Mus musculus: one gene and its partners. The protein of the gene in region 1 binds, or shares a complex with, the protein of each later gene. Links are inferred from orthologs where the notes say so. Each region holds a gene or a part of one and is shown in the gene's direction. Other genes may lie near its edges.

The links. The genes of interacting proteins can lie anywhere in the genome.
Region 2: the proteins of Gnai1 (region 1) and Gpr4 are in contact, whole or in part, in a cryo-EM structure (PDB 8Z9P), measured with the Homo sapiens proteins. The link is inferred for Mus musculus from reciprocal best matches to the Homo sapiens genes GNAI1 and GPR4. Residues at the interface, in NP_002060.4 of Homo sapiens: Lys192, Asp193, Leu194, Glu318, Tyr320, Thr340, Asp341, Ile343, Ile344, Lys345, Asn347, Leu348, Asp350, Cys351, Gly352, Leu353, Phe354; in NP_005273.1 of Homo sapiens: Asn50, Leu52, Arg115, Ala118, Val119, Pro122, Leu123, Arg124, Arg129, Tyr201, Ile204, Val208, Val212, Ser213, Thr214, Glu218, Lys221, Ile222, Leu225, Asn290.
Region 3: the proteins of Gnai1 (region 1) and C3ar1 are in contact, whole or in part, in a cryo-EM structure (PDB 9IPV), measured with the Homo sapiens proteins. The link is inferred for Mus musculus from reciprocal best matches to the Homo sapiens genes GNAI1 and C3AR1. Residues at the interface, in NP_002060.4 of Homo sapiens: Glu28, Ala31, Arg32, Glu33, Val34, Lys192, Asp193, Leu194, His195, Lys314, Asp315, Glu318, Tyr320, Lys330, Phe334, Phe336, Asp337, Ala338, Thr340, Asp341, Ile343, Ile344, Lys345, Asn347, Leu348, Asp350, Cys351, Gly352, Leu353, Phe354; in NP_001313404.1 of Homo sapiens: Asn57, Arg120, Val123, Val124, Pro127, Ile128, Gln131, Asn132, Asn135, Val136, Tyr356, Ile359, Arg362, Met363, Arg367, Phe368, Lys370, Gln372, Lys374, Thr375, Val378, Ala379, Leu438, Gly439.

The regions. Positions count from the first base shown.
Region 1 is NC_000071.6:18,267,493-18,276,003, reverse strand, and holds part of Gnai1 (guanine nucleotide-binding protein G(i) subunit alpha-1), read left to right. Parts: intron 1-2,428; coding exon 2,429-2,558; intron 2,559-4,024; coding exon 4,025-4,178; intron 4,179-8,511. UniProt on the Homo sapiens protein: Guanine nucleotide-binding proteins (G proteins) function as transducers downstream of G protein-coupled receptors (GPCRs) in numerous signaling cascades.
Region 2 is NC_000073.6:19,216,533-19,222,537, forward strand, and holds part of Gpr4 (G-protein coupled receptor 4), read left to right. Parts: intron 1-4,857; 5' UTR 4,858-5,622; coding exon 5,623-6,005. UniProt on the Homo sapiens protein: Proton-sensing G-protein coupled receptor activated by extracellular pH, which is required to monitor pH changes and generate adaptive reactions. Activated by an optimal pH of 6.8-7.2.
Region 3 is NC_000072.6:122,849,899-122,855,662, reverse strand, and holds part of C3ar1 (C3a anaphylatoxin chemotactic receptor), read left to right. Parts: intron 1-4,398; 5' UTR 4,399-4,406; coding exon 4,407-5,764.

The DNA.
Region 1 (8,511 bases):
CTTCCCCTTTTAGTTCTAGTATGGTTTTGTTCATTTCCATCACCTGTTTGGATGTGTTTTCCTGTTTTTCTTTAATGATTTCTACCTGTTTGGCTGTGTTTTCCTGCTTTTTTTTAAGGGCCTGTAACTCTTTAGCAGTGCTCTCCTGTAATTCTTTAAGTGACTTATGAAAGTCCTTCTTGATGTCCTCTATCATCATCATGAGAAATGTTTTTAAATCTGGGTCTAGATTTTCGGTTGTGTTGGGGTGCCCAGGACTAGGTGGGGTGGGAGTGCTGCGTTCTGATGATGGTGAGTGGTCTTGATTTCTGTTAGTAGGATTCTTACGTTTGCCTTTCGCCATCTGGTAATCTCTGAAGCTAGCTGTTTTAGTTGTCACTGTTAAGAGCTTGTTCTTCAGGTGACTCTGTTAGCCTCTGTAAGCATACCTGGAGTGTAGCACTCTCCTTAGTTTCAGTGGGCAGAGTATTCTCTGCAGGCAAGCTCTCTTCTTGCAGGGCAGGTACCCAGATATCTGGTGTTCAAACCAGACTCCTGGCAGAAGTTGTGTTCCACTCACTAGAGGTCTTAGGATCTCGTGTGGAATCCTGTGTGGGCCCTTGCGGGTGTCAGGCGACTCCGCTGGCAAGGTAGCCCGGGGCTCGAGTGGAGCGGAAGGGGTTTGTGCCCCAGATCAAGCCCGGGTATCCTGCTTCCCTATGTACCGCAGTCTCAGGTTCCGCGCGATTGGATTGGGGCAGGCGCTATGTTCCACTCACCAGAGGTCTTAGGATCCCGTGGGGAGTCCCGTGTGGGCCCTTGCGGGTGTTGGGCAAGACTCTGCTGGCAAGGTAGCCTGGGGCTCGAGTCGAGCGGAAGGGACTTGTGCCCCAGATCAGGCCCGGGTAGCCTGCTTCCCTATGTACTGCAGTCTCAGGTTCCGCGCGATTGGATTGGGGCAGGCGCTGTGTTCCACTCACCAGAGGTCTTAGGATCCAGTGGGGAGTCCCGTGTGGGCCCTTGCGGGTGTTGGGCAAGACTCTGCTGGCAAGGTAGCCTGGGGCTCGAGTCGAGCGGAAGGGACTTGTCGTAACAGAGCTTTCTTAAGGTTATACTAAAACTCTATGAATTGTATTCCGAGGCAATTTAAGAAATGTTGATCTAATTAAATGGGTTTTCCCTTTGTTCTTGTTTGATCTCTCTTACGACGTGTCATTATCTTGACCACTCTGCTCTCTGTTCTCTTTCCAGCCAGTGCACTCTGATTTATGCTGTGGTAGGATCCTTTCGTTATAACATACTTTAGTGAGCGGCTTCCAGCCCAACCATAATGACAAAAGTAACAACCTTAGTGGACAAACTCAGATTTGGTTTGTAGGCCACTACTGCTCTGTGGGGAATTAAATAGGAATGGTTTTAATTAGTGTACCATCAAGATAAATGGGGCCTTTAAAACTGTGCCAGTTTACAGAGCGCTTCCATTATATAAGTGGTTATTTCTAGGCTGTATAATGTAGTCTATGCAAATTTAAACTTTTGCTTAACTTTATAAACTCTTGCCAGGAACAAGAAGAAAAGGTCATTGGCATTATGTTGTTTGATTGTGTCCCAGAACCTTGCACATTAGCCTCCAATTCCCCATAATTGTGCCTTATATAAAAATTGAGGAATTTTATTCTAAATTTCAAGCCCCTACCCCTTTCCATTTTATTCTGTAATCCACACAAACCTTTTGGCCCCTTTCTGAATTACTTTATTTCAGAACCGTTTTCTTACCTGTAATTGCTTTTTCTTTCCTCCAACATCTTGCTCTCTGTTTTAAGAGAACTCATTTCTTGGTTGAAATAGGGGAACCCTGTTGTGTAGCACTAATGCCTGGGACTGGCAAGTTCAGTATGCTTCTTTGATCTCTGGCTTCCTTCATTGCTTTGTAGGACTGTCAGTGGTGACAACAGTGTGATGCATTCATCTTCAGCTGCTGTGATGTCCCCAAGTGCTTTCATATGTTTGTTAATGGATGTCTATGCTTTTAAAAAATTAAATTTTCATTTGTTATTATTTGTTTATGTGTGTGTATGCACACAGGATATCACACATACACACATGCCACAGAGTGGGTGTGGAGAGGATCCAGGCGCTGAACTCAGGCTGCTAGGCGTTCTCTGGGCCATCTCAAGGACCCAGATGTGCTGTGTGTGGAGAGTACTTTTGATTTTGCTTTATAGTTACTCTAGCTGTAATCAAATGCTTAATAAGAATGATTTATTAACATTTTTCCCTTTGAGAAAATTAACTGGTAACATTTTTTTTCCTCCCACTATGTCCCTTTTCTCCTTTCTTCCCATCCCACAGCCTCCAAGCTATGTGAAACTTTTTTTTTTTGGCATTACAGAACTCGGAGCTTTTGAACATTTAATGTGGTGTCAAATCGTACATTTTCCTCTTACAGAATGTTTGACGTGGGAGGTCAGAGGTCAGAGCGGAAGAAGTGGATCCACTGCTTTGAAGGGGTGACCGCCATCATCTTCTGTGTGGCCCTGAGTGACTATGACCTGGTTCTTGCTGAAGATGAAGAAATGGCAAGTAGAAGCAGCTGTAGGGGTACAGCCTGAAATGTCCAGAGCTGCACACGTTGCCAAGACCTTAGCTGAGGAGCCTTGAGAAGTCCTTGCTCATGAACGAAGTATTTGCAAGTTCAATTTCTTTGCTTCAGCGCCTCTGCTGCAGCCCAGAGGGCACCGATGCTTAGAAGGCACAGGTGTTTCTCCATCCATCTACCTGGGAATTGCCTGCATCTGCCCAAAGGCTCATATTTCCCCATGAGTTACTCTGTCGGTCTATAATCTTCCTTATATGTTATACTTCTCTAGTTATAGAAAAACAATTTTCAAGTAACATCCAATAAATATACCATTACTCTAGGAAGTATTTTCTAATACATTGAAAACTCTGGCACTTATAAACATATGAAAATGATGGGCAGGTTTCAGGTTTTTCTAAATCAAGTTCATACCGTCATCAGTCATGGGGGGAAATGGGGCATAACATACATTTTTTGCATTTCCCCACTGTAAAACGTGTCAGTGTCCTCTTTGAACACAGCACGAAAGGATAGAAAACAAGAACTGGAAGTCATCTTCTCTAACATCCACTGTGCTGGGCTAATTGGATTTCAGCTCTCTCCATTTGACACAGTGCTCTTAAAGCTTCCACCTACCTCCTAAGCAAAGCTTAGATGGCCTGTGCAGCAGTGACATTTCCTCCATGTGTTCCCATGTGGACATCCCTTGACTGTGACATCCTATAGCTCTCAGGCATGAGCCAGTGATGTTTGAAAGACATTGAACAAGGTGCCCGCTAACATCTATGTTGTGCTTGTCCAGAAATGACAAAGAATGTAGTTAGTATTCTGGAATTATTATCAGCTCTAGAGCACAGATCTGACTAGATAGAAGCCACAACCACTGTACCTGGCCAACTGTCACCTGATAAGTCTAATTAGAAGATGCTGGCCAGGAAGAAGAGGGAAAAAAAATCATTCATTACAGCCTTCCTGGGAGAACAGGGTATCTGCACCCTAGGCTGTTGTTAGAAGCTGAGACGAGCAAAAGAAAAAGCCGGAAGCACTGGGTGTGCATGGTCCTAGTGTCTGGGTCGAACTGTGATCTGGTCACATTGTCACAGCCCTGGTTGTGCAGGGTCTCCAGCTGTTGTCTAGTATATTGTTGTTGCTTGAGGAGAGGGAAGGCATTCGGGTTTTTTCATCAGGAGTTAATTGCTTTCACCCCGGGGCCAGCTTCCCTTCCATCACAGGGAGTAAACCTTTAAGGCTCTTTCTTCTTCACTTTGAAATAAGCCAAAGTGACTCAGACAGAACAGGTTAGAGACAAAATTGGAGTTGAGACACCAACTGGGACATCCTTCAGGGTGTTACGTGCTTTTCAGCTGAAAGGATCTGGCAGTTGCCACATTTGTTCTTTTTAAAACAGATCCTCAGAAACTGCACTGTTCATGAAAATGATTTCTTTTTTTTTTTTAATTACAGAACCGTATGCACGAGAGCATGAAGCTGTTCGATAGCATCTGTAACAACAAGTGGTTTACAGACACGTCCATCATCCTTTTCCTCAACAAGAAGGACCTCTTCGAAGAAAAAATAAAAAAGAGCCCCCTCACGATATGCTACCCAGAATATGCAGGTATTTCACTCTCTTAGAGTAACCTAGCAAATCCTGTGCTTCTGAGTGAAATTCCCCCTATGGCAAGATTTGCAGGTGTTGGTTTGAATTTATTGATATGCTAATTCTTTCACTGGAGGGTGTCATACTTTTCAAACTGCATTTGAGCACAAATAGTCCCTTAAGGTGTGGAGAAGTTTTTCTGAACATCCCTGGTTTGCTTTGTGAAAAGGCTTGGAGGTAATTTCCAGAGATGTCTCCATGTCTCTGTAAATGTAAAGACTGACTTGTTAAAAAAAAATAACCAGATCACAGATTGGATAAACAAGATAAGATCTGTCTCTGCTCACTATCTTCTCTCAAACACATTCATGATAAACAATAGCAGTCACCCTGCTTCTAAGAGGGACCATGAATATTACTGTAAGAAGACAAGTGAAGAGGAGCCAGAGAGGCAGCCACTTCCTCCACGGTGCCAGGGAAACTTTGATAGGAAATCCAGGCCTTAATAGTGAGACTCTCATAGACAATGTACCTCTGTGAGTAAAGGCCTAGCTTTTACAAAATTTGGTCTGTGATCTCAAACAAAGCAGATACTTTATCTATGTTCCAGTGCCTCATCTATAAAATTAGGAACTGGGTTAAAACCTTGGTTTTAATTTGGTTTACTTCCTTGGAGCACATCCCAAGCTGATATTGAAAGCAAGTCTGGTGTTCACACTTATGAGCCCCAGTCTTGGGGGATGAAGAGGAACATCAGTACTTCAAGGCCATCCTGGTCTACATAGAACGTCCAAAGACAGATCAGGGTATATGAGAACCTGTTTCCAAAACAAAAAGTGAATACCAGGACCAGAGCTATCTATCCCCACACACCCTTCCAGTCCTCATATATAAGCAAAGTAAATTGGTTTTCATATATATATTTATATCCATCCTGTTTCTTTAAAATATAAGACTTTCACTGGTTTGTATGAACTCTAAATCTAAAATGTAAATGTTCTTAACCTTTTCCTCATTCTGTTTGAAAAAGCAAAAAATAATTCTCCAGAACTTCTCAAACTCTAAATAAAATTTGAGTCAATGCTGCACTGAACTGGTTGTTGGTGGGCATTGCGTGAATGCTGCTTCCAAGTTGACGCTGAGCAGCCTGTTGGCATTGGTTCTTGGATAGCCCTGCTCAGATATAGTCCATCTTGAGACCCCAGTGCACCACACATCTGCACCTAGGCCTGCACCAAGCAGTTAATTAGGGTCTCAGTGGAAGCAGAAAGGACTTGTTCCTTGGTAAACACAAGACTATTACATAATCATTTGATAGCCCAAGTGCTAAGATTATAATTTCAGATCTGCACTACTTGCTCTAAGAATTGGTTCCGTTGCTTCCTGCATCACCATGAGCACTTGGTTCTTACGACTATGAGCCTTTATGTTTTATGGATAAACCCTGTGTAGCCCCCACCTGCTTGGGTGTATCCTGCCTCTGTCTGCTGACTTGCAAAGCACCTCCTCCTTCTTCATTGTAAGTTGCCATTTCACCGGGATCCATTTCCAGTCCTTTCATGGTCATGCTGGCTGTTGAATTGTGTTGTCAGACCCTGAACATCCCTCTGCAGCCCCTTGCCTCTGTTTCCAACTGTTTCTTGAATGTGGTTTTTAGCACTGAAGCATAAGCCAAGCTAATCTCTCCTTCTCCTTTGACTGTCTCATAAAGTTTCCAGTTTTGAAGTTGCCCTCACTCAATCATATATTCTTTCAGGAAAGTTCCCATGGTAGACAGTACCTATGCTCCCACCATGAATGTGTACACACTGAAACACATATATGCCCCCCCCCACACACACACACACACTTTGTTCTTGTTCAGACTGAAAGTCAGATCAAAGAATGTGTTCACCAGTTTATTCATGGATCTGGAAGCCCCTGGGGCACAGTCATTTAGCTACTCAGAATGTGTATTGCCTATGAGTACTGTACCCAGTACAAATTACTTCACACAAACGCCTTTGTAATTAATTTAGGAGTTATATTCTAATTGCTTCTTTAACCGAACAAGACATTGCATACAAATTTTAGAGCACTGAATGATTGGATTTTTAAAGGCTTATTATTACATAAAACAATTAAAGTAGAAACTCAGTGACGGTGGTTGTATCATTCATGCTGTCTAGCACACTAAACACAACTTCTCTCTGGGCCTTGTCATGTGGCATTTCCCATGCGTTGCATGGTATTTTTATGTATGGTGTGATAACAATGGGTAGGGTTGGCAGGATAGAGTCATTAGAGTCTATCTCAGGATGTGTAATGGTGAAGAAGAATTGAGATCCAGCAAAACATGTAAGAAAACATACAACAAAGCTGAGATACTGTTTGTATTATCTGTCAGAGTTTCTTGTTTTGCGTTGTTTTGTTTTTTAAAGTGGTACAGAACCCATCTGGGTTTGGTTAGTTAGCTGCATATGTATCAAAAGATGGCCTAGTCGGCCATCACTGCAAAGAGAGGCCCATTGGACTTGCAAACTTTATATGCCCCAGTACAGGGGAACACCAGGGCCAAAAAGGGGGAGTGGGTGGGTAGGGGATTGGGGGTGGGTGGGTATGGGGGACCTTTGGGATAGCATTGAAAATGTAAACGAGGAAAATACCTAATTAAAAAAAAAAAAGATGTGGAAAGAGTGAACATCTTGGATGGTGGTGGACTGCAGAGAAGCAGTGCTGTAGAACACAGCAGCACTTTGTATCCTGAGTTGTCATGGTAAACGCTGAGACCCAGTTGTGGAACAGAGCACCTCAGAGCAGAAGCGGGGAGCACAAAGAATCCTGAAAGGCACATGAGTCATTTGGGTTATTATAAAAGAGGGATTTAATAGATTTTTTCTGTTATATGCCATATAATATTTTCTAACAGTATCAAGTGGACAAATATGCAGTTAGCTCTAGTATGAAACATGTTTAGAAAACCACAAACAATCAAATACAGAATTGTGGGGTCCAGCTCCAATTCATGCATCTGTGAATTAGCTCCTGCATCTAAGGCCTGGGGAATGACATGGAAGTGGAGGCAGAACGACTGTAAGAGCCAGAAGATTAGAGTTGGATGTGAGAGTGTATCTCACAGTAATGTCAGAAGCTACGTACAGAGTCTCACATGACTGCCTAGGCATGAGCTAAACAAGGACAACACCAATAGACATCCCAGAGTAGATGAGAGAAAATCCAAGAGGCCTCAATTCTACTCAAAGAGTGACAGACAAATCAGAGATGTGAGAGCAGAAACTTCTCAGGGAGGAGCGCACCAGGTTTCTATCCAATACCTTGGTGAGCCCTGAGAATGCCCACATAAACAACCTGAAACACACTGAGCAGGTTGGAGCTTTGTACACATACTTGTACATGGAGCAGCAGTCAATGAAAAAGGCTGTGAATTTGAAAGAGAGCAAGGAAGGCTATTTGATAGGTGTTCCAAGGCAGGCAAGGAAATGAAAAATGAAGTGATTCTGTTATAATCTCAAAAAGTAAAAAAAAAAAAAAAAAAACACACACACAGACAAAAACCCCCACCAAAAAAAAAAAAAAAAAAAAAAAAAAGCTTATAAAAAGAAAAGGAGGGAAATGAACACACAAACAGGACCAAGTGGCCCTTTATTGCCTGAATCCAGAAACTGAACTTTCCCATCACCCCGAAAGCTCTCCCACCCTCTTTCAGTCTCACCTGATTCATCCCCTGCCCTCATCCCCCTGAAAAATGATCATTAGAGCGGCTGATTTCCTTTTCATTGGTTGGCAACAACAGCTGGGTCACATGTGGTGCATCCGTGTTTATGTTTGGCTCCTTGGGTCCAGAAGAGGATTCAAAGTCCTTGTTTCTGAATGGCAGCTAATGATCTGATTCTCCCAGATTGTCCCTGTCAGTGACAGTGCATGGACTTGCAGGATATTTCCCAACGTAGAAGGCCATGCTGTGCTCTAGCAGCCTTTGGGACTCTTCTCTGACCACAGCACAGTCCTCAAGCCTGCAGCTCAGCATTGGGTCTCTGGGTCAGAGTGTGTGCACGTATCCTCAGGTTCTGCCACCCCATTTCTGAACTGTTCTTACTCGGAGCCAGTCTCTACCCCCTCAAGTAAAAGCTGGATGACCCTCCCCACCCCATTTTTCTCTTTCGATAACTTCATAGCCCTTAACCATATTCCAGATATGAACAAAAAATAATTGTGAAAGGATAATTAATGAGTGAATATGGAGGGAGAGAAGGAAGCATTTGACAGGCATTATTGATTTGCCCTGGGGTTAGCACAGTAACAGTGGGCCAACCTTAGGGTTAGGTGGCTTGAATTCTCCAGCTTAGGGATG
Region 2 (6,005 bases), on another chromosome or scaffold:
GGTCAGCCTGATCTACAGGGTGAGTTCCAGCTCAGCCAGGACTACACAGAAAAACTCTGTCTTGAAAAATACATAAATAACAATTTCTGATTTTTAGCAGACTCTCAAAGGGGTTTGAAGCCCCTAGAAAGACATTAGGACAGGAATGAAAGGAAAGAAACACCGGGAAAGGAGATACTGTTCATCTCAGATAGTGAATAACAGCCCTTCCTCTCTGGACCTCAGATTCCCTATATGGCCTGGGAAAAAATAGCTTCCTGTTCCCACACTATGTAAACCTGTATCATGGAATTCTAAGAATCAGAGGTTCTATGATGGCTGGGGCTGGGGTGGGGGTTTTGTGGTGGTAGTCAAATGTCAGGTAGGAAGAAGAAAGGTCAGTTTGATGTCCTGTCTGTCTGTCTGTCACTGCCTCTCTGCCCCACGTCTAGCATCCTCATGACTCAGGTAGGCTGAGGACAGGGTAGATGCCAGACTCTGTTCCCTGAGAGGAAATTGGCAGTGGGAAGTTCATTTCCGTTGGCTGCAGGAATGTCTTTGCTGCCTGTGTACCTGTTCCAGTCTCAACAGGGCCCGGGGGGCCACAGAAGGGAGCTCCAGGGGGCAGCCAGCTCTCTCTCATGGGTTTTTATGTGGGTGCTGAGGATCTGAAGGCAGGTGCTCCCTCACCTTGCACAGCAGTCGCTTACACGCTGAGTCATATCCTCAGCCCATTACACCCTTTCTTCCTTCCTTCTTTCTTTCTTTCTTTCTTTCTTTCTTTCTTTCTTTCTTTCTTTCTTTCTTTCTTTCTTTCCTTCTTTCTTTCTTTCCTTCTTTCTTTCCTTCTTTCTTTCCTTCTTTCTTTCCTTCTTTCTTTCCTTCTTTCTCTTTCTTTCTTTCTTTCTTTTTCTTTCTTTCTTTCCTTCCTTCCTTCCTTCCTTCCTTCCTTCCTTCCTTCCTTCTTTCTTTCTTTCTTTCTTTCTTTCTTTCTTTCTTTCTTTCTCTTTAAATTTTGAGACGGGGTCTCATTTATCCCAGGCTAACCTGTTGGGATCATAGGCCTGGGCCAATGCGACTGATTTATGAAGTGTTGGGGATACAACCCAGGGCTCCGTGCTTGTTAAGCGAATACTTCATGAACTGAGCTATGTGTCTGGCACTCTTTTTAGCCTTCTGTTCCCTTTTTGTGGTAAGAGAGATTGAACTCAGGACCTCGTGCCTGCTAGAGAAGCACTCTTCTGCTGAGCCACACCCCAGCACCCACTGTTAGACTCTAGGTAAGCATTCTATCAGTAAGCTGCATCCCCAGGCCCAGATACTGAATATGTGACTGAAGATGCTTCATTTTACCAAAGATTTTCATGTGTGATGTGATTAGGGTAGAGACAATACCCTTCTTTTGCAGAAGTTAAGGCTTCTGAAGGAAAAGGGGGGGGGGGAGGAAGAGGGCGGGAGACAGAGAGAGAGAGAGCAGAGAGCACGCCAGCAGAGAGGGGGGTGGGCAAAGAGGAAACAGACACTAGGGGAAAGACTTGGTCTGGATCAGAGGTTTTGATTGATGGTAGGCTGGGTTGGCTCCCATTGGTTTACCCAGGAACAAGTCCCTCCTATTCCATCTCCAAGGGATCCAGAAGTTTCCAGCTCTGGGGTGGGATGGTAGGTGTCTAAAGACTCCCCACAGGGTGCTGGCCTTAGGGATCAGGACAGGCCTGACCTTTCCAAGTCAATCAGGAAGCAGATGGGTCCTGCACTTTAATCTCCTCGCAGCTTGCAGCCTCTTCCCCCAGGCTCCCCAGGGCTTGTTGATGCCTGGGGTAGAGTCTGGGAGGAGGCAAGGGACAGCCAGTGGGAGAAGCACTGGGCGGGCTCTCCCAGCCTCTAGGCTTCTGGAATGACTTCTATACCCAGGCACTTGTTAAGCACCTACTGTATGCAAGGACTGTCCCTCACATGAGTAATACAACAGCCCACTTGACACTCAAGGTTCCTGTCCCCGAAGAAGTTACAGACAGACAGAAGGCAACAGGCTACAAACACAGTGCTGTGAGATGGTTGTAGGAGTGGTGGGTAGGAGTGAAAAAGGACATGGAAGAGGAGCTGAAGACACCATAGGCCAGTCAGGGAGAGAGTGTGGAGGAATGAGTACTGAAAGAAGCTCACTGGATTGGAGATTGCTGAAAGGAGGAGTAGGCAATCAGCACAGGCTAGCTGGGAAGAGGCCTGGGACCTGTCACCGGGTACCAGGAGCTTTCATTTTCTGGCAAGTCTATTCATTTTGTTTTGCAATAATGCAGAAAGGACCTAGGGCCTGCACATGGTAATCAAGGGCTCTGCCACTGAGCCACACCCCAAGCCCCTCACTGAGGGATTCTAGGCAGGGGCTCTACCACTGAGCCACACCCCCAGTCCCTCACTGGGGGATTCTAGGCAGGGGCTCTACCACTGAGCCACGCCCCCAGCTCCTCACTGGGAAATTCTAGATAGGGGGACTCTTGGAAGCCTTTGGAAGTTCAAGAAGAAAAGAACAAGAGCAGATTCCCCTAGAAGGTCTCCTGATTGCTCTGTTTGTAGTTAATTGAGGGAGGCAGAATGATAGAGCAGATGCTGTCACAGCCCCTGAGCAGTGATGGTAACATACAGCAAGAGAGGGATTAGTGACACAGGGTCTATCTGAAGATAAAGCAGGAAGGACTTTCCTTGGGAAGAAGAAAGACTTGAGTTTCTTAGGCTTACTGTGTGACTCCAGGTTTATCCCTTCCCCTTTCTGGACTATAATTTCCTCATTTGTCTAGTATGCTTTAACCAGTCTGTCTGTCTGTCTCCCTCTCTCGCTTTTCTCTCTCTTAAATTACACTTATTTATTTATTTATTGCCCTGGTATGTGTGTGGAGAACAACTTCTGGGAGTGAGTTTTCTCCTTTTGGCATGTGGGTATTGGGAATAAAATCAGGGCGTGATGCTTAGCAGCAAGCAACTTCTTGGGCTTTTAAGTGTGTTCTGGGGATTTTTAAGAGGTGGCTTCCCAGTCTCTGTGTCTTTTCTCCAGACTGCGTGGCACTTTCTCTGTTCATTGTCTTAGACTGGATTTCCAAGTATGATCTTGTTTGTTTGTATGGGTTTCTTTCTTTCTCTTTATTTTTCCTTCAAAATAAGCCTCTTTGTAGTCCTGACTGTCCTGAAACTTACTCTGTGAACAGGCTAGCCTCAACTGCAGATATCAGCTTGCCTCCTGAGTTTAAAATGCTTTGAAGCTGGGTCTAGTGGTGCCTGCCTATAGTCTCACCATTTAGGAAGCAAGGATGCTCACAAGTTTCAGAAAAGTCTGGGCTACATAGTAAGATCCAGCCACAAAAATTCATCAAGCCAACCAACATATGTAGGGGATGTGGCTCAGTTGTTACAGCACCTTCCTTGAATGCATGGGACCCAGGATAACAATCCAAGCTCTGTGTAAACTGTGCATGGTGGAGCACTCCTGGCATCCCAATACTCACAAGGCTGAAGCATTGAGGTCATCCTCAATTACATGCCAGGTTCAAAGCCAGCCTGGACTACATGAGAGAGGGAGCAAGATTGGTTTATATCCGAGTAAACTAAATATATACAGACCCTCCAGTCATCAGGTGAGGGGTTTGGGGCATGATTGTTCTCTACCTTTTTTTTTAAAGATTTATTTTATGTATATGAGTGCACTGTAGCTGACTTCAGACACATTGGAAGAGGGCATCAGGTCCCATTACAAATGGTTGTGCGCCACCATGTGGTTGCTAGGATTTGAACTCAGGTCTTCTGGAAGAACAGTCAGTGCTCTTAACCGCTGAGCCATCTCTCCAGCCCTCCTCTATCTTTTGGGGTGTTCTTTGCTTTAAACTTGTAGATCTTCTCAGAATAAGGGTTCTGGGACCTCACTGGACAGTGGGAAAGGAGAGGGAAGCCTGTGAGGGCTTCTCCCACTGCTGGCACCAACCCCAGGCTCCTTTTCAGAGTCTAACAGCTCCTGCTCTGTCCCACTGTCAACCCCGAGGCCCTTTTATGGCCGTGGGGCTCTGGGAAATGGGCTGTTTGGGAAAGGGGACTGAGGGCAGAGATTTCCCACCTTGGGCATCAGGACCTTGGACAGATCTGAGTGGTCCACTGCTTCAGTTTGTTAAATCTCTGAATCTGCTGTTTCTTTCTGTATGTGAATGTATGAGTGTGGTGTGTATGTTCACGCGCACGCATGTGAGTGCTTCTGCTTACTATGTTATACATGCAGGAGTCAGGGGACAACCTATAGAATTGGTTCCTTTCTTCCATGGTGTGAACTCCTGGAATCAAACTCAGGTTGTAAAGCTTGGCTGCAAGCTCCTTTCCCCACTGAGCCATCTCCACACCGCTCACCATCCATTGCTTACTTAGAAACAGGTTTTCACAGCTTCCAACCCAAGGTGCACTGGAGGATGATTTTGATTCTCCAGCCTCCACCTTCTGGGTTCAAAGACACGTGCCAACCTGTTGGGTTTTTGTTGTTGGGTTTTTTTTAAAGATTTATTTATTTATTTTATGTATACCAGTACACTATAGCTGTACAGATGGTTGTGAGCCACCATGTGGTTGCTGGGATTTGAACTCAGGACCTTCAGAAGAGCAGTCAGTCAGTGCTCTTAACCGCTGAGCCATCTCTCCAGCCCCCGTTGTATCTTTAACTTGTATTTGGAAAGCCCGTCTATTGCCTGGCACCCTCAACCCCATGCTCTTAGACATCTCTTCCTTGGGGTGATACTCAAGCAGGCTTTGTTGGGGTGTTCCTCTGTCTTCCACAGTAATAACGGAAGGTACTGGGGAGGTCAGTATGGACATCCATGCCAGTTTCTCTAATGTGTTTTCTCCCCTCAGGCCTAGCAATCTCAGCTCTCAATGCAGTCGTGAGTGGAACAACTTCATCTCCACTCCTCAGTCTCCACCAGGATCAACTCTGAGTCTCCTGGAACCCCCTTCAGAGTCCCCCTCCTACACACAATCCTGTGCTCCACCACTTACTCACCTTCCTGTTTCCTAGCATCCCTTCCCACAGTCACCAGCCTTTACAAGTCCTTCCTCTTTGTCTGTCCCCAGAGGACACCTCATTTTTTTTCCTGCTTTGGTGACTTTACATAGTTCTCTTTCCAGCTGGTGTCCTAGCAGATGCCAGCACTCTTAAAATTGCATCTTGCCAACTCTGTGACTTCTCTCCATGCTCCCATGTCTTTCCTTAGTCTTCTAGAACATTCCATCCCATTGGTACTTCACCATGTCCATATTGACTTCCTAAGATTTCAATAAGCATGACACCGCTGGTGTCTTCATCTCCTCTGTAAACACTGCCTTGACCTTTTTTTTTCTGGTGCCATCTTTGTGCTCTGGTTGTGTAGATAGCCCATTGACATTAGTTCCACCTCTTATCCTTACCTTCATCATCCCTTGACACTCTTCCTCTCAAGTCCTCCCTTTGCTTAGCCTGCCACAAAGCAAACCCAGACCTCAGTCCTCGTGAACTGTCTCCTGTGATGTTCCCCTGAGCCTCCAAAGAGGGGGCTCAGGGGGCCTGATGGCCTCCCGCCCCCCGTGGCCCTGTAGCCCCAGCGGGCCAGGGGAAGCTCCTGGGAAGCCCCATCGCCCAGGATGGACAACAGCACGGGCACAGGGGAGGGCTGCCATGTGGACTCTCGAGTGGACCACCTCTTCCCACCATCTCTCTACATCTTCGTCATCGGGGTGGGGCTGCCCACCAACTGCCTGGCCCTGTGGGCAGCCTACCGGCAGGTGCGCCAACACAATGAGCTGGGCGTCTACCTGATGAACTTGAGCATTGCAGACCTGCTGTACATCTGCACTTTGCCGCTGTGGGTCGACTACTTCCTCCACCATGACAACTGGATCCACGGCCCTGGCTCCTGCAAGCTCTTTGGCTTCATCTTCTACAGCAACATCTATATCAGCATCGCCTTCCTGTGCTGCATCTCCGTGGACCGCTACCTGGCTGTGGCTCATCCTCTGCGCTTTGC
Region 3 (5,764 bases), on another chromosome or scaffold:
TTTTTCGAGACAGGGTTTCTCTGTGTAGCCCTGACTATCCTGGAACTCACTTTGTAGACCAGGCTGGCCTTGAACTCAGAAATCCGCCTGTCTCTGCCTCCCAACTTTCCCAAATTTTTATTTCTCCTGTCTTATCTCCATGTCTACTTTTATTTTTATGTAAATACTATACATTCTATTTATCTTGGCTTTTAATATTTTCATTCTGAAAATAATAATGAATTTATGTTATTTATTCCCCTAGATTATAGATCATGTTTTCTTCCCTTAGTTTTGCTTCTGTAATCATTGATCACATGTACACACATTTATTTTTATGTATATATACACACACACACACACACACACACACACATATATATATGCCCATATGTGGATTCTTCTTCTGTTGCTCTCTGTAACTCTCCCGTTCTTTGAGCTATTCCTTATCAAAATAGCTGGTTCTATCATTCCATAATTATTATTTGATATTTAAATCTAATTTTTACTCATCATAAATACATTTTAGTTTCAGGTTTTTTTTTAATTACTCTGGCCAACTCAATCCTGAAATCTTTATAAAAAACTTAAACATAGAGGGTTTTTGTTTGGTTTGGTTTTGGGGGGGGGTTGCTCAGAACTTGGGGAAATGTAATGTGGTCTTGTCCTGGATGACTTTTAGGGTGTGAGCTTTCAAGGAAGATCATTTGTGATATTTAAACTATTCCTCACAGCACGGAACTCAGTTGCTCTTACATTGGAATGTTTTCCTTTCAACTTCTGTTATTTTAAATCGCTATGTCCACTTTATTATCGAGACCACAGTTTCTCAGTCATGTGATCCCTGCAGTAAAAAAGAACAGTAACCTAGGCGTTATTAGGTGAGTAGCTGGGGCTCTCCCCGGCTGCGGTCACGTGAAAGCCACGTCATCTCCAGAATCTCAGCATCAAAAGCTGCACAGCGAGGGATGTCTGTGGGTTGCTCTGTTCCTAGCAGTCTCTGGGTGGGCTTTGCTCTCAGCATCTTAGGATGGTACGCATTGAGGTTGGAATGGGACACTAGATCCGAGTTCTTGCCGTTCACATAAGGGAATGGTAGGACTTGAAAAAGACAGAGACCAGAGTGGGTATCGTTTCTCCTTTTCTTCTTATTCTGTTGTTATCCTAACTTCTGCTTACCGCATAAGACTTGTCACAAACTTTTGTCAAGTTCAGCAGAATCGCTTCCAAATGTCCCAGCTTCCATTTAAAAACAAGCAAACCAAAAAATCAAATCAAATCAAATAAATAAAAATGGAGGAGGCTGAAGAGATGATCGGTGGTTGGGAGCAGTGGCTGCGCTTCCAGAACCCTGCTCTACCAGGGTTCAAGTCCCAGCACCTACATGGCAGCTCACAACTGTCTGTAACTCCAGTTCCAGGAAATCTGACACCATCCCACAGACACGCATGCAAGCAAAACAGCAACACACATAAAATGAAAATTAATCATTTTTAAAGATATAAACTGTTACTACATCCAGTAATGTTTGGGAATTTAAAATCAAGAGAGAAATTTAGAAGAGACAGCATAGGAATTAAGAAGCCATATGGGAAAAAAATAAAATGGCTAAAGACTAATATTTTTAATGTAATTGAAAATGAAAAAATTAAACCCGAAAGGTAAGCATCCCCCTGGCCGTGGGGGTACATGCGTTGTAATCCCAACATTTGGTAGACTGAGGCAGAAGATCTCCAGTTTGAGGCCAGCCTGGTCTATATAATCTAACTTCATCTCAGAAAAAAACAAAAGAAAAAAAAAGTGACCCTTGATCCATATGCTAAATGATATGGAAGAGGCATTTGTAAACAGGTCTTGTCTTTACCATCACACAGTTTAGGGCCACTATAAAAATTACAACCTAAGATTACATGTGCCTCCTCATAGGACATGTCAGAAAAAAATCAACCACACACTTCTACATTCATGTACATGAGTCAGCACACACATGTACAAGTGAGAGACCAAAGAATCAGTTTCTTCGAGGATTATAAGAGACTGTTTTAGATATAGTGCATTGAGGTTAACCTTGAGGAGTAAGTATTTTAATGGGTAGAATTTTAGTGTAGGGCATGGAAGAAGCCATTCTAGGGGCGTATTTCTAAGTGGAAACCATTAGCCCTGCTTAGGAATATAAAGCAGCATTGATCTGAAGGGATGAGACGTGGGCAGAAAGGATGCATTTGTCCGAGTGCTCAGAACTAGGGAAGGATCTCACCGACCAGGAGGGCAGACTGCAGAGAACTTCACTGTAGAAGATAGAGAAGTCCGTCTGGCTTTGGGTTCTAGATGCAATTTTAGCAGAATAATAAGAGCAGAAGACGAAATAACCCCAAACCATGAAGGAGAGAATTAAGAATGATTGTTCAAGATGGGCTTGGTGACACACACCTTTAAGCCCCTCTCTCAGGCGGCAGAGGCAAGAGTTTGAGGCCAGCCTGGTCTACAGAGGGAATTTCAGGAAAGTCAGGGCTACACAGAGAAACCCTGCCTCAAACAAACAAACTAAAAAGAATGACTGTTCAGAGCAATAAGCGCCCAAAGTTGGAAAAAAAATTGGATGAAAACTTGGTATTCCTTACATTGAATCTTCCTTAAGTTAAAAGTTAAAAGTGGGGACTTGAGTTGAAACAGCAAGTTTAGAGAGTACTATGTGCTAGGTCCACAACTGCCACCCTTGGTGGCTTTCTTGTAAACTTGCTACTAGCCAGAGTTTCTGGAAAGAGGAACCTCGATTGAGAAAGTGCCTCCACCAGATTGGCTTGTAGACAAGGCTGTGGGTCATTTTCTTGGTTAACATTGACTTGGGAGGGTCAAGCCCAGTGTTCTCTCTGGGCAGGTCCTGGGATACTTTGAAGAAGGCAGTGTGGGTAGACATGAGATGCTACCCAGTGAATAGCATTCCTCTGTGGCCTCTGCTTCAGTTTCTACCTTCGAGTCCCTCCCTGCCTTGGCTCTGACCTGGAATATGTAGGAAATAAACCCTTTCCTGTCCAAGTTGCTTTTTGGTCAGTCTTTATCACAGCAATAGAAAGCAGATAATATACTATTTAAATGCCCTAAATTAGGTAAAAGCAATCCAATGTCTGTAGTTAGATCACTTTATAAACAAAATATGCTTCACACACACACACACACACACACACACACACACACTAAAATATCAATTTCAGATGGGCAGTGGTGGAGCACACCTTTAATCCCAGCCCACGGGAGGCAGAGGCAGGCAGATCTCTGAGTTTGGGGTCAGCCTAATTTACAGAGCAGGTTCTAGGACAGCCAAGGCTACACAGAGAAACCCTGTCCTGAAAAACAAAACAAATATACATATGTGTGTGTACCTATGCATGCATGTTTTTTTATTAGATGAGAACATTTTGGAAGTCAGTTGCATTCAAAGTGACTAGGGCAAGTACTGCTGAACTGTGCACTGGAAATGGTCAATTAAAAAGGCTGACTTTATGCTACATATGTATTTTATCACCATCAATTTTTAAATATGCATGATATAATTGAAACCCACTAAATTTTGTTTTTAAAATGTATATATACATGCAAAAGATGAATGAAGGAATCCTTGAGGGCCAGCTAATAAGTGCATGCTAAAACTAAGTCCCAAAAGTCACCCTTTGACCTCCATGCACACATGTGCACGCGTGTGCGCGCACGCACACACATACACACACACACACACACACACATACTTTGTCAACTAATTAATGAAAATATGCAGTTCTCAGCTTTTATATGCTATTGTTGGTGTGCTAAAGTTTTGGAAAGTCCTCCAATGATGCCAGATCAGGGAGAGTCTGCCCACAAGTTTTTGTATATTTTCTCACTGAGGCATCTATTCAGTTTGGGCAGCAGACACTGAGCAGAACGTAGCACGGCAATGCTTGGTAGCAATGCCTGTCCGGCCAGCACTCAGAAGACGGAGGCAGGAGAATCATAGCTTCCAGTCAGCCTCTTCTACAATATAGTCAGTTGGAAGTCAGCCAGCTTAGACAACATGGAGAGCCTGTGCCGAAAGCCACTGGGTAAGCCCGAATCTCAGTAGCAGAGAGCTGCCCAGGGTGCGTACTGCAAAAAAAAAACCTCAAACAACAGAAGTAGGGAGGTGTAAAATAAAGTGTAGGGGGGTGGAATTTAAGCTGATGTGGACTTCCAAATAAAGTTACCTTTTAGATACCTATTTAAATCAATAGCATAGACCTGAAACTGTCTATCAGAAAATGTGTCTATTCTGAGGAAGGAGTGCTAACGAGGTTCTGTGAGGGGGGCCTCTGGCTTTGAGAGGGTGTACCATCACATAAGACTCCTAAAAGCACATACTTTTATAAATTCACCATGAGCTTTAACATCTTCTTTGTCATTTCGCAGACTGAGCCATGGAGTCTTTCGATGCTGACACCAATTCAACTGACCTACACTCACGGCCTCTGTTTCAACCCCAAGACATTGCCTCCATGGTCATTCTTGGTCTCACTTGTCTATTGGGACTGCTAGGCAATGGGCTGGTGCTGTGGGTAGCTGGCGTAAAGATGAAGACGACCGTGAACACAGTCTGGTTCCTCCATCTCACCCTGGCCGATTTCCTCTGCTGCCTCTCCTTGCCCTTCTCCTTGGCTCACCTGATTCTCCAAGGACACTGGCCCTATGGCTTGTTCCTGTGCAAACTTATCCCATCCATCATTATTCTCAACATGTTTGCCAGTGTCTTCCTGCTTACTGCCATTAGCCTGGACCGATGTCTGATAGTACATAAGCCAATCTGGTGCCAGAATCATCGAAACGTGAGAACCGCCTTCGCCATCTGTGGATGTGTCTGGGTGGTAGCCTTTGTGATGTGTGTGCCCGTATTTGTATACCGTGATCTGTTCATTATGGACAATCGCAGTATATGTAGATATAATTTTGATTCCTCCAGGTCATATGATTATTGGGACTACGTGTACAAACTAAGTCTACCAGAAAGCAATTCTACTGATAACTCCACTGCTCAGCTAACTGGACATATGAATGACAGGTCAGCTCCTTCCTCTGTACAGGCAAGGGATTACTTTTGGACAGTTACCACTGCCCTCCAGTCACAGCCATTCCTAACATCTCCTGAAGACTCATTCTCTCTAGATTCAGCAAACCAACAACCCCATTATGGTGGAAAGCCTCCTAATGTCCTCACAGCCGCCGTACCCAGCGGGTTTCCTGTTGAAGATCGTAAATCCAATACACTGAACGCTGACGCTTTTCTCTCTGCTCACACAGAACTTTTCCCTACTGCTTCTAGTGGTCATTTATACCCCTATGATTTCCAGGGGGATTATGTTGACCAATTCACGTATGACAATCATGTGCCGACACCGCTGATGGCAATAACCATCACAAGGCTGGTGGTGGGCTTCCTGGTGCCGTTTTTCATCATGGTAATTTGTTACAGCCTCATCGTCTTCAGAATGCGAAAAACCAACTTCACCAAGTCTCGGAACAAAACCTTTCGGGTGGCTGTGGCTGTGGTCACTGTCTTTTTTATCTGCTGGACTCCATACCATCTTGTCGGAGTCCTGCTATTGATTACTGATCCAGAAAGTTCCTTGGGGGAAGCTGTGATGTCCTGGGACCACATGTCCATTGCTTTAGCATCTGCCAATAGTTGCTTCAACCCTTTCCTGTATGCCCTCTTGGGGAAAGACTTTAGGAAGAAAGCAAGACAGTCTATAAAGGGCATTCTGGAAGCAGCCTTCAGCGA